2 linked regions of the Bombyx mori genome follow. The protein of the gene in region 2 purifies or fractionates together with the protein of the main gene of each other region. This does not show direct contact. Links are inferred from orthologs where the notes say so. Each region holds a gene or a part of one and is shown on either strand. Other genes may lie near its edges.

Evidence for each region.
Region 1: the proteins of kinesin light chain (region 2) and JNK-interacting protein 1 purify together in Drosophila melanogaster (affinity purification with western blotting, with the first as the bait; 3 studies listed by BioGRID). This does not show direct contact. The link is inferred for Bombyx mori from reciprocal best matches to the Drosophila melanogaster genes Klc and Aplip1.

What each region holds. Positions count from the first base shown.
Region 1 is NC_085107.1:7,548,195-7,552,030, forward strand, and holds part of JNK-interacting protein 1, read right to left. Parts: intron 3,503-3,836; coding exon 3,340-3,502; intron 1,530-3,339; coding exon 1,348-1,529; intron 592-1,347; coding exon 519-591; 3' UTR 1-518. UniProt on the Drosophila melanogaster protein: The JNK-interacting protein (JIP) group of scaffold proteins selectively mediates JNK signaling by aggregating specific components of the MAPK cascade to form a functional JNK signaling module.
Region 2 is NC_085124.1:2,401,036-2,404,871, forward strand, and holds part of kinesin light chain, read right to left. Parts: intron 3,750-3,836; coding exon 3,633-3,749; intron 3,627-3,632; exon of another isoform or gene 2,250-3,626; intron 1,457-2,249; exon of another isoform or gene 1-1,456. UniProt on the Drosophila melanogaster protein: Kinesin is a microtubule-associated force-producing protein that may play a role in organelle transport. The light chain may function in coupling of cargo to the heavy chain or in the modulation of its ATPase activity.

The sequences.
Region 1 (3,836 bases), on a different chromosome or scaffold from region 2:
AACGTTATTCTTATTTAAAGGTAGATGCAGTATGTATATAAATACTGAAATGAGTTGCTGTAAATAGTCATGTACTTCTGTCTCTCTCTCTCTTAATATAATATATTAAAGTTAATAGTTTCGGAAGGCGGCTTGCGACTTAGCAACGACTTTGAAAATATCAAATACTTTGTGACAGGCATGTAGTGGATGGTCTGTTAATTTATGTCAATTTAATCTCGTAAAATCGGTACATTAGGAAGATAACTTAATTTTCAAATTATATTTTATATAAATACTACATTCATTCTTTGAAGTTCGAAGTCTTTGAAGTAAAGCCAGAGATGCAATAACCACCGAAAAAACCCTTTAAATACAAGTGAACAATACATTTCACTAAGCAATTGACTCATTAGGGTCAGCGTAAATTTGCGACATTTGTTAATTCATAAAATAACCATTCACTAAACATGCCTGACGTGATATAACTACAACAAAAAAGCTTCAATAAATTACTGATGATTATTATCGTTCATTCCCTATTCTATGTAGATGTCCTCAATTGGGTACGCTGTCTCGATAAACTTCTGATAAAATCTTTGAAAAGCTCTCCTGAAAAAAAAAAGCAATACAGAAATTGATTAATTGATTAATTAGTCAACGGAGAAATTGGGTCGCGTTTCCGATCCGGTGGTGGATTCTGCGAAACACTGCACTTGCTAGGACCAGTGTTAGCAACACTTCCGGTTTGAGCCCCGTCAGCTCACCTACACGTTAGGGTAAAGCTGAAATAGCCTCTCAAGTCTATCAGCACAGGTAGGGAAAAAAAAGGAAAAATCTTGGAGTTCTGTGAGTAAGTTCCACAGGAAGTCCTCTGAGCAGTCGTTTGAGCTACTAATACCGTTTTTACCATCGCACCAACCGACAATGCAGAGTAGCAGAGTGCATTCTTACTGCTGAAACTATTTTAAGACATCCTTTTTACTTCGTACTACGCTCCGTACATTCGAGAGCTATTATACGACCTTTCCTAGTAGTAATTCCCGATTCTTTCTATTAGCATTAAAACGCCATTTTATTATTTTATCTATTGCAAGCTTTAATGGCAAAAGTCGTTCGTAAGCCTATATTAAAAACACTATACAAGATAACCTTTGCCGGTGTCAAATGTGTAGGAAAATTACATTAATAGTATGTACCTAAATATGAATTAAGGTTCTTAATAAAGGCTTCTTTACCTTTATATTTATACTAGTTTTCAAGTTTTAATGCTGCTCTTGATAAAAACTGTTGCGTTGTAGAGTGAGTTTATTAGTTACTAGCTCACATTCGTTTTTAAAGCAGGACATAAGATGTACATTGTCTTACCCGACTGCTTCTGCGACTGGCCTGGTAGACTCCTGTCCTCGAAATACGTGGCAAGCGAATCGTTGAAGGGTCGGGTGTTTTGTGATGAAACCCAGGTAACGATGATCTCGAGGATGGAAAGCGCAAAACGATACGTTCTTCAGCGAGTAAAAGTAATCGATACAGGGTCCGTTGCGATTTCTCTGTAGTACACAAAGAGTAGAAAACAATCAATTAACAAACCAGTCCAGTCAGATTACATTAGGTTTTATAATATAAATTTCCGAATTTGGCATTCCAAATTAAACAAGCAGGATTGTGGTGTGCGCTGGGCAGAGTCATAAGAAGACTATACCGTCGCTGGTTTCGTAAAACCAACTTGAGCTATATTTAGCGAAAATAATGGCAGAATGGATTTTCTGAATATGGGAACGTGATATTTCAAATCAGCACAGCCTACAGAAATACAGTTGTAGTTTTTACATAATATTTCTTTTTATATATTTTTTGGCCCTAGGAGATTTAAAGTAATGTAACATATTACTAAAGAAATTTACAAAATTCGTATGCAAACGTGAATAAAAAATTACTGGCGGTCGGACGTATTGTCAGGCTGCACTGGTAGGAGCCCCTAGTCTGTCCGTTTTTGCCACAAAGCAGTTACTGGTTTCTGATTCATGACCGGGATAGCGGTTAAACTATACAAATGCAACTTTAGAACCTACGTGTGAAGGTAGGTGACGGCATTTACGAGGTGATTGATATCTATGGCTTCCGATAACCACTTAAGCTGGTGGGTCGTGAGAGCGTACTATGAGAATACAATGAAAAAAAAACAGGCAATAACGATAGCTAATAAGTAGATATTCACAATTCTTGAAACGGAAATTTAATTTGGGAAGCTAGCATAAACTGGAATGTGTACTTTTCAGTTGAATTTTTTAGTTTACCTTTAGTATCTAATGTAATTTATAGTATGGTATGTTATTCATTATGAGATGCTATTTATCAGCAATGTGAAATAAATCCCAGAGCATGTGTTTTAACTCATCAGAATGATTGGCAAGGTGAAAAATAGATTCGTTCGTATTTAACTCGTAATCTATGTTTCCTCGACGAGAATGTTTTCACTTGTTTGCCATAAAAAATGTAATACTGAAATCACCGGTTTGTATGATCATGAAAAAGTGTTGCTTCGAAATTGTTGAGTTTAATTTACTGAAATATGAAATTGATATTGAAAAGTGTACATATTTATGTAAACTGCTGAATAAGTAGAGATTAAAAACTAAAATATCATATAGTAAACCTTCATCTGAAGAAATCCAAACCTTCTCTTTTAACGTTACAGACGTAAAAGCATAGTAATGTATGTATGAAGCATTATTATTTGTCTCACATAAACACACGCGTTTGTTCCTTAATAATTCTTTTCTTGTAATAACAAATACAAGTTTCAAAATTTTTATTACGATAGACGTTAGAATGAATTATAGACTGTTTACGAATACCGAACTGTAGAACATCAAAATTGATGGACGTGTTTAAAAGAAAAAACGCTTTAATTTTACATTTAGCACGTGTTGAATAATATTGTAAATATTTGGTTTTATCATCAGAGTAGTCCCGCTTCAAACAAGTTGAACATTTAAAATCGAATGATAATTTTACGATGAAAATATGAAATAATCAACCATTTGAAGATGTCCGTTTATTTATAATTTTTATCAAGGTTATTTGCAAGCAGCTATGTTTATCGTAATTAAAATATATCGTTTTGAAATTCTTTTGAACTTAAGAAATTCTTCTTACATTTCTATACGTATTAGCTGTTACTTTTTAATTTTGAAGTTGAAAGCGGTTTTAAATTTCATTAAAATTATATAATTAGTAAAAGTTCGATTTTAAATTAAATTATTATGTTTCAAATAGGACGTAATGACGGTTATTGGTTTGACACACGGATTACGAATGAAATATAACGTACAGACTTTAAGTATGTCTTATACTTACCTCTGGCTTGGAACGGTCAACCATACGAAGCCCCTGATCAGATACTTCAAGAATACAAGGCTGAATGGTAGGTTCAGTGCTGCATTCACCGACAATCTTTTTTACAGCTTGGCAAACGACACCTGTACCTTTATGGGCTAAAGTTTCTACGGAGCCCATATACCTATAAATAAATTAATCAAGAATACATAAATATAAAGATTACATATAGTTATAAAAATAAGTGTTACGGGTAAAGGAAAGAAATACACACGACACAAGAACAAATATACGCAGATCTCGAACATTTTGAAATATCTTTCTTCCTCTTCTTTCTTTCTTGTACTGATTCCGACCGAGAGCTGAGGTCGGCTCTCGTAATGCTATGTACTACTTACTTGCGGCTACTAACTATTAAGCTGTCGACAGGGACGTCTTAAACTAGGCTGGGGCCCTTGGGCACACAAGAATTTGAGGCCCTTTTGGAAAGTAAAAAAAGCGAATTATAATAACATTTT
Region 2 (3,836 bases):
GGCGTAAAAGATGTTGACAGTTTTATTTAGAGTTGCTAACGATCTGGTGTATCGCAACGCACAGTACAGCGGATCGCAACTGAAGGCAGTGTTCGGGCTTACTTTCGAATTAATTTAATTACGTTATTTTTACCGCTTTCTGTCTTAATTTATTATTTTTTTATTACCTCTCTTTAATTTATTACGTTATTTTTATAGCTTTCTCTCTCATAGTGTTTTGATATTCATTTTATTTGTACTTGGTCCCTGTATATGGAAATTTTAATTCGTATTTTGATTTTAAAAAATGAATACTAATAACACTTTTTTTTACAAGTGTACATGCGCGAAAGTTGACCTGCGGCTATATTCAGACTCGCCAAGTTACGTCGGTCGTACTGTACATGTATTTTCTACATGGATACCAAGTTTCAAGTCAATCGGTTGCACGGTTCAGTAGTTATAATGGAACATCCGTAAAACCACTGTAGATTTATATATTAGTATAGATTTGTAAATCATTTATAAATGAGCACGAGAAACATTGAAGTTTTGAAGCCAAACAGAATTGTCTGTCTGCATTAAGGGTAACTAATTCTATTCCAATAGTATAGTTCGCTTTTTAACTTACTTGCGGTACGTGCTAATAGGGCAGCGTGCATAATGAAACATCTCAATTCTAGGGTCAGCAGACTAAAGCACATAAGTCAAAAAACTCTACTTTACAGGAATTAAAAAAAACTATTTAGAATCTTATACATTAACAAACTTAATAATGTTTATTTGAATTATATAAGTCTATAACACTAACTTATTATTAAAATTAAATATTTTAAATTAAATGTGATTATTTAATAATTAGATGACTTAAGTTATAAGGAACACAATAATAGTATGAGTTAAGTGAAAAAGATCAACAATTAAGATATATATTATAATAATATAAGTCATAAATATAAATAACAACTCAATGTTTAATTAAAATTCTTCTTCTTCATCGAGTTCTAAAATATCTGGATCAGTATTTCGTAAAGTTTCCAACGTGGGAAGACTTATGTAAAATTCATGGAAAATATCTAGTATTAAAGGGAGCAGCGAAATTAAATCTTTTTTTTCCTCGATGGATATGGGTAATGGCTGTATAGATATTATATCATCAGTTTGAGAACCCCCTATGGATGATCTCCTTTTCATAGCAACTGTCTTTATAAAATTGTCACTTTCATCTAACGGTTTCATTAAACATCCTCGGCAGACAGGTTCATGTTTACCATGCACAGTAAAAAAGTATTTTTATGTCTTCATTCTAAGCTTTTGCTTTTCAGGTTCAATAGCTCGTATTCTTTGCTTAGATTTATTTTGAATTTCCATTAAAGACGCCAAGTATGCAGATCTTTTTGCATATGACCCCATTTGCCAATATTCTGTAAATATGGCACGCCTATCAGTTAATGGTATACGTTCTTTACATTTCATTCTGCAAACAGGTAACTCTTTCAAATTCAAAATCATTTATTTCAACTTAGATGTCAGTATAACACACTTATTGAATGTCAAAATATAAATAACAATGTTATCTCTACCACCGGTTCCAAAAAAGCCACAGTCCTGAGAAGAACCGGCGAAACAAACTCAGCGGGCTTTTTTTTTTCTTTTTCTCAAATATTTTTTTTAATTCATAGTGCGATCTGATGTACATTTTCCTTTTAAAGTTTTGTATGCCTGTCCTAAGTTACGTTTTATTCTTTTTTCTCTTTTTATAGTACGTATACTCTTTTTTGGAGACACATTAGGATTCATTGAAATTTCATCACAAGTACTTGAACTTGATGTGATTGGAAGTCTCGGTAATTCATAACATGGATCTCGTACAGAATCATCACTAGAGAAGTCAAGTACAGAATAGTATGTTAAGCTACTGACTTGACCTGATGATGTCGACGGTATAGGATCGTCTACTACTAGGTTCTACTAGAACTCTGTGTTCAAAATCGACTGTTGATTTACATTTTCTAAAAAAGGACAAGACAATTAATTATCTATTTATAATGATATAATATTGATATAATTACGTAATTTGCAAATCATAATTTTGAAGATATGTGAAAATATACCTTCATTGCTTTCCAGATGAGTGGATGACGCCATTTCAACTAATTTCTTGCCTCTTTGAATATTCATCTTAAATAATTAAAATACTTAAGCACTCACACAAAACTAACCAACAAACTGTGCACAATCGACAACATTAGTAAATTAAAACCACTTACCGAAGTATTGTTTACGTTATAAATATTTTTAAGTAACCACTTTCTCTAAAGAAATGTTACATTTTGATGTTCTTTATAACATAAGTCAGACTTCTTACGTTAATAACTTTGTACTTATGGTGTTCCTTAGAACATAAGTCCAGTTATGTTTTTTAGTTCGTTTGACTATATTAGGATTTGATAAGGTTGATACAGAACGCCGCTTGAATACGCCATGAAATACTTGAGTTTGATTTATGTGCTTTAGTCAGATTGTGTGTTGAGCAAAATGTAAACCGATGATGTAATAAAAAATAAATTGAAAATTTTGACTTATGTGCTTTAGTCTGCCGACCCTAGAATTATACTTTAGTGTATTTTTTTTACCTATTATATTATACATTAAAAAAAATAAGCGGTAAAATTTCGGTTATTTTTTATTGCTTATATGGGTGGACGAGCTCACAGCCCTCCTGGTGTTAAGTGGTTCTACAACGGGACATCTACAACGTAAATGCGCCACCCACCTTGAGATATAAGTTGTAACGTCTCAAGTATAGTTACATGGCTGTCCCACCCTTCAAACCGAAACGAATTACTGCTTCACGGCAGAAATAGGCAGGGCGGTGGTACCTACCCGTGCGGACTCACAAGAGGTCCTACCACTAGTCTCTAAATAATTTATACAAAAATTTCGTTATCGTGTTTTAGAATTATCGTACCGAATTTTTCTTTTCGTGTTAGAATGAAACCGCGTTATAGGAGGATTACCTGTATCACGGTCGACTTCTATACTTTCAATTCACCCTATTCCAAAAGACTATTCTTTTGTTACCATCAAAACGTGTTTTTCCACTAATTACGTATTCAGCTAAACCTCTCAATAAATCAATACATTCCTTAGACCTAAAGTCAATCCTCTAAATACATTTTTTCCTTGTTTACAAACGCAATGACTGTATCGTGCTCTGTTTTATTTTAAATAGTAGTTTTGAAGTGAAACTTCTAATGCGACTTCATACAAGGTTGCGTTAAACGTTCAACGCTCCTTGGGAGGGGGAATTGAAAGAGACAGAGCGAGAGTGTATGCGTGGCACTCGAACGCGTGCGCGTAGTATATCTGTTACAGCGCGAGCGTTAGCAACGAGTAGCGCCCAATATTTTAATGAAGTATTTAAATATATTATATATTTATTTTTCTATAAATATAAAATTTAAATATTGAAGATGTCGCATCTCTTATACACAGCATTCCCTATTACAAGAGCCAATCTGATTTAAGGATGAAAAATGAAGAAAACCACAATAGGTACTACACATCGAAAAAGAAGTTTCACTTCATTCACGTGCCCCTAGTTGCACGCGCACCGTTTTTTGACTAGAAGGTAGTCGAGTGTGCTGTACCTCTTTCCGGCTCCGAAGGGCGCAGTCCTCGAGGGTCTCGGCGGCCTCGTACTTGCCCTGGCGCCGGTACAGCGCGCCCAGGTTCTTCAGCGTTGTGGTCACTGTCGGAGAGTCCACCTGCGGCACCACGCCCTACAGTTAGCTCTAAGTCTATCTAACTATACTGAGACCTTAGAACTCAATCTGAACGTTGTAGATGTCTAT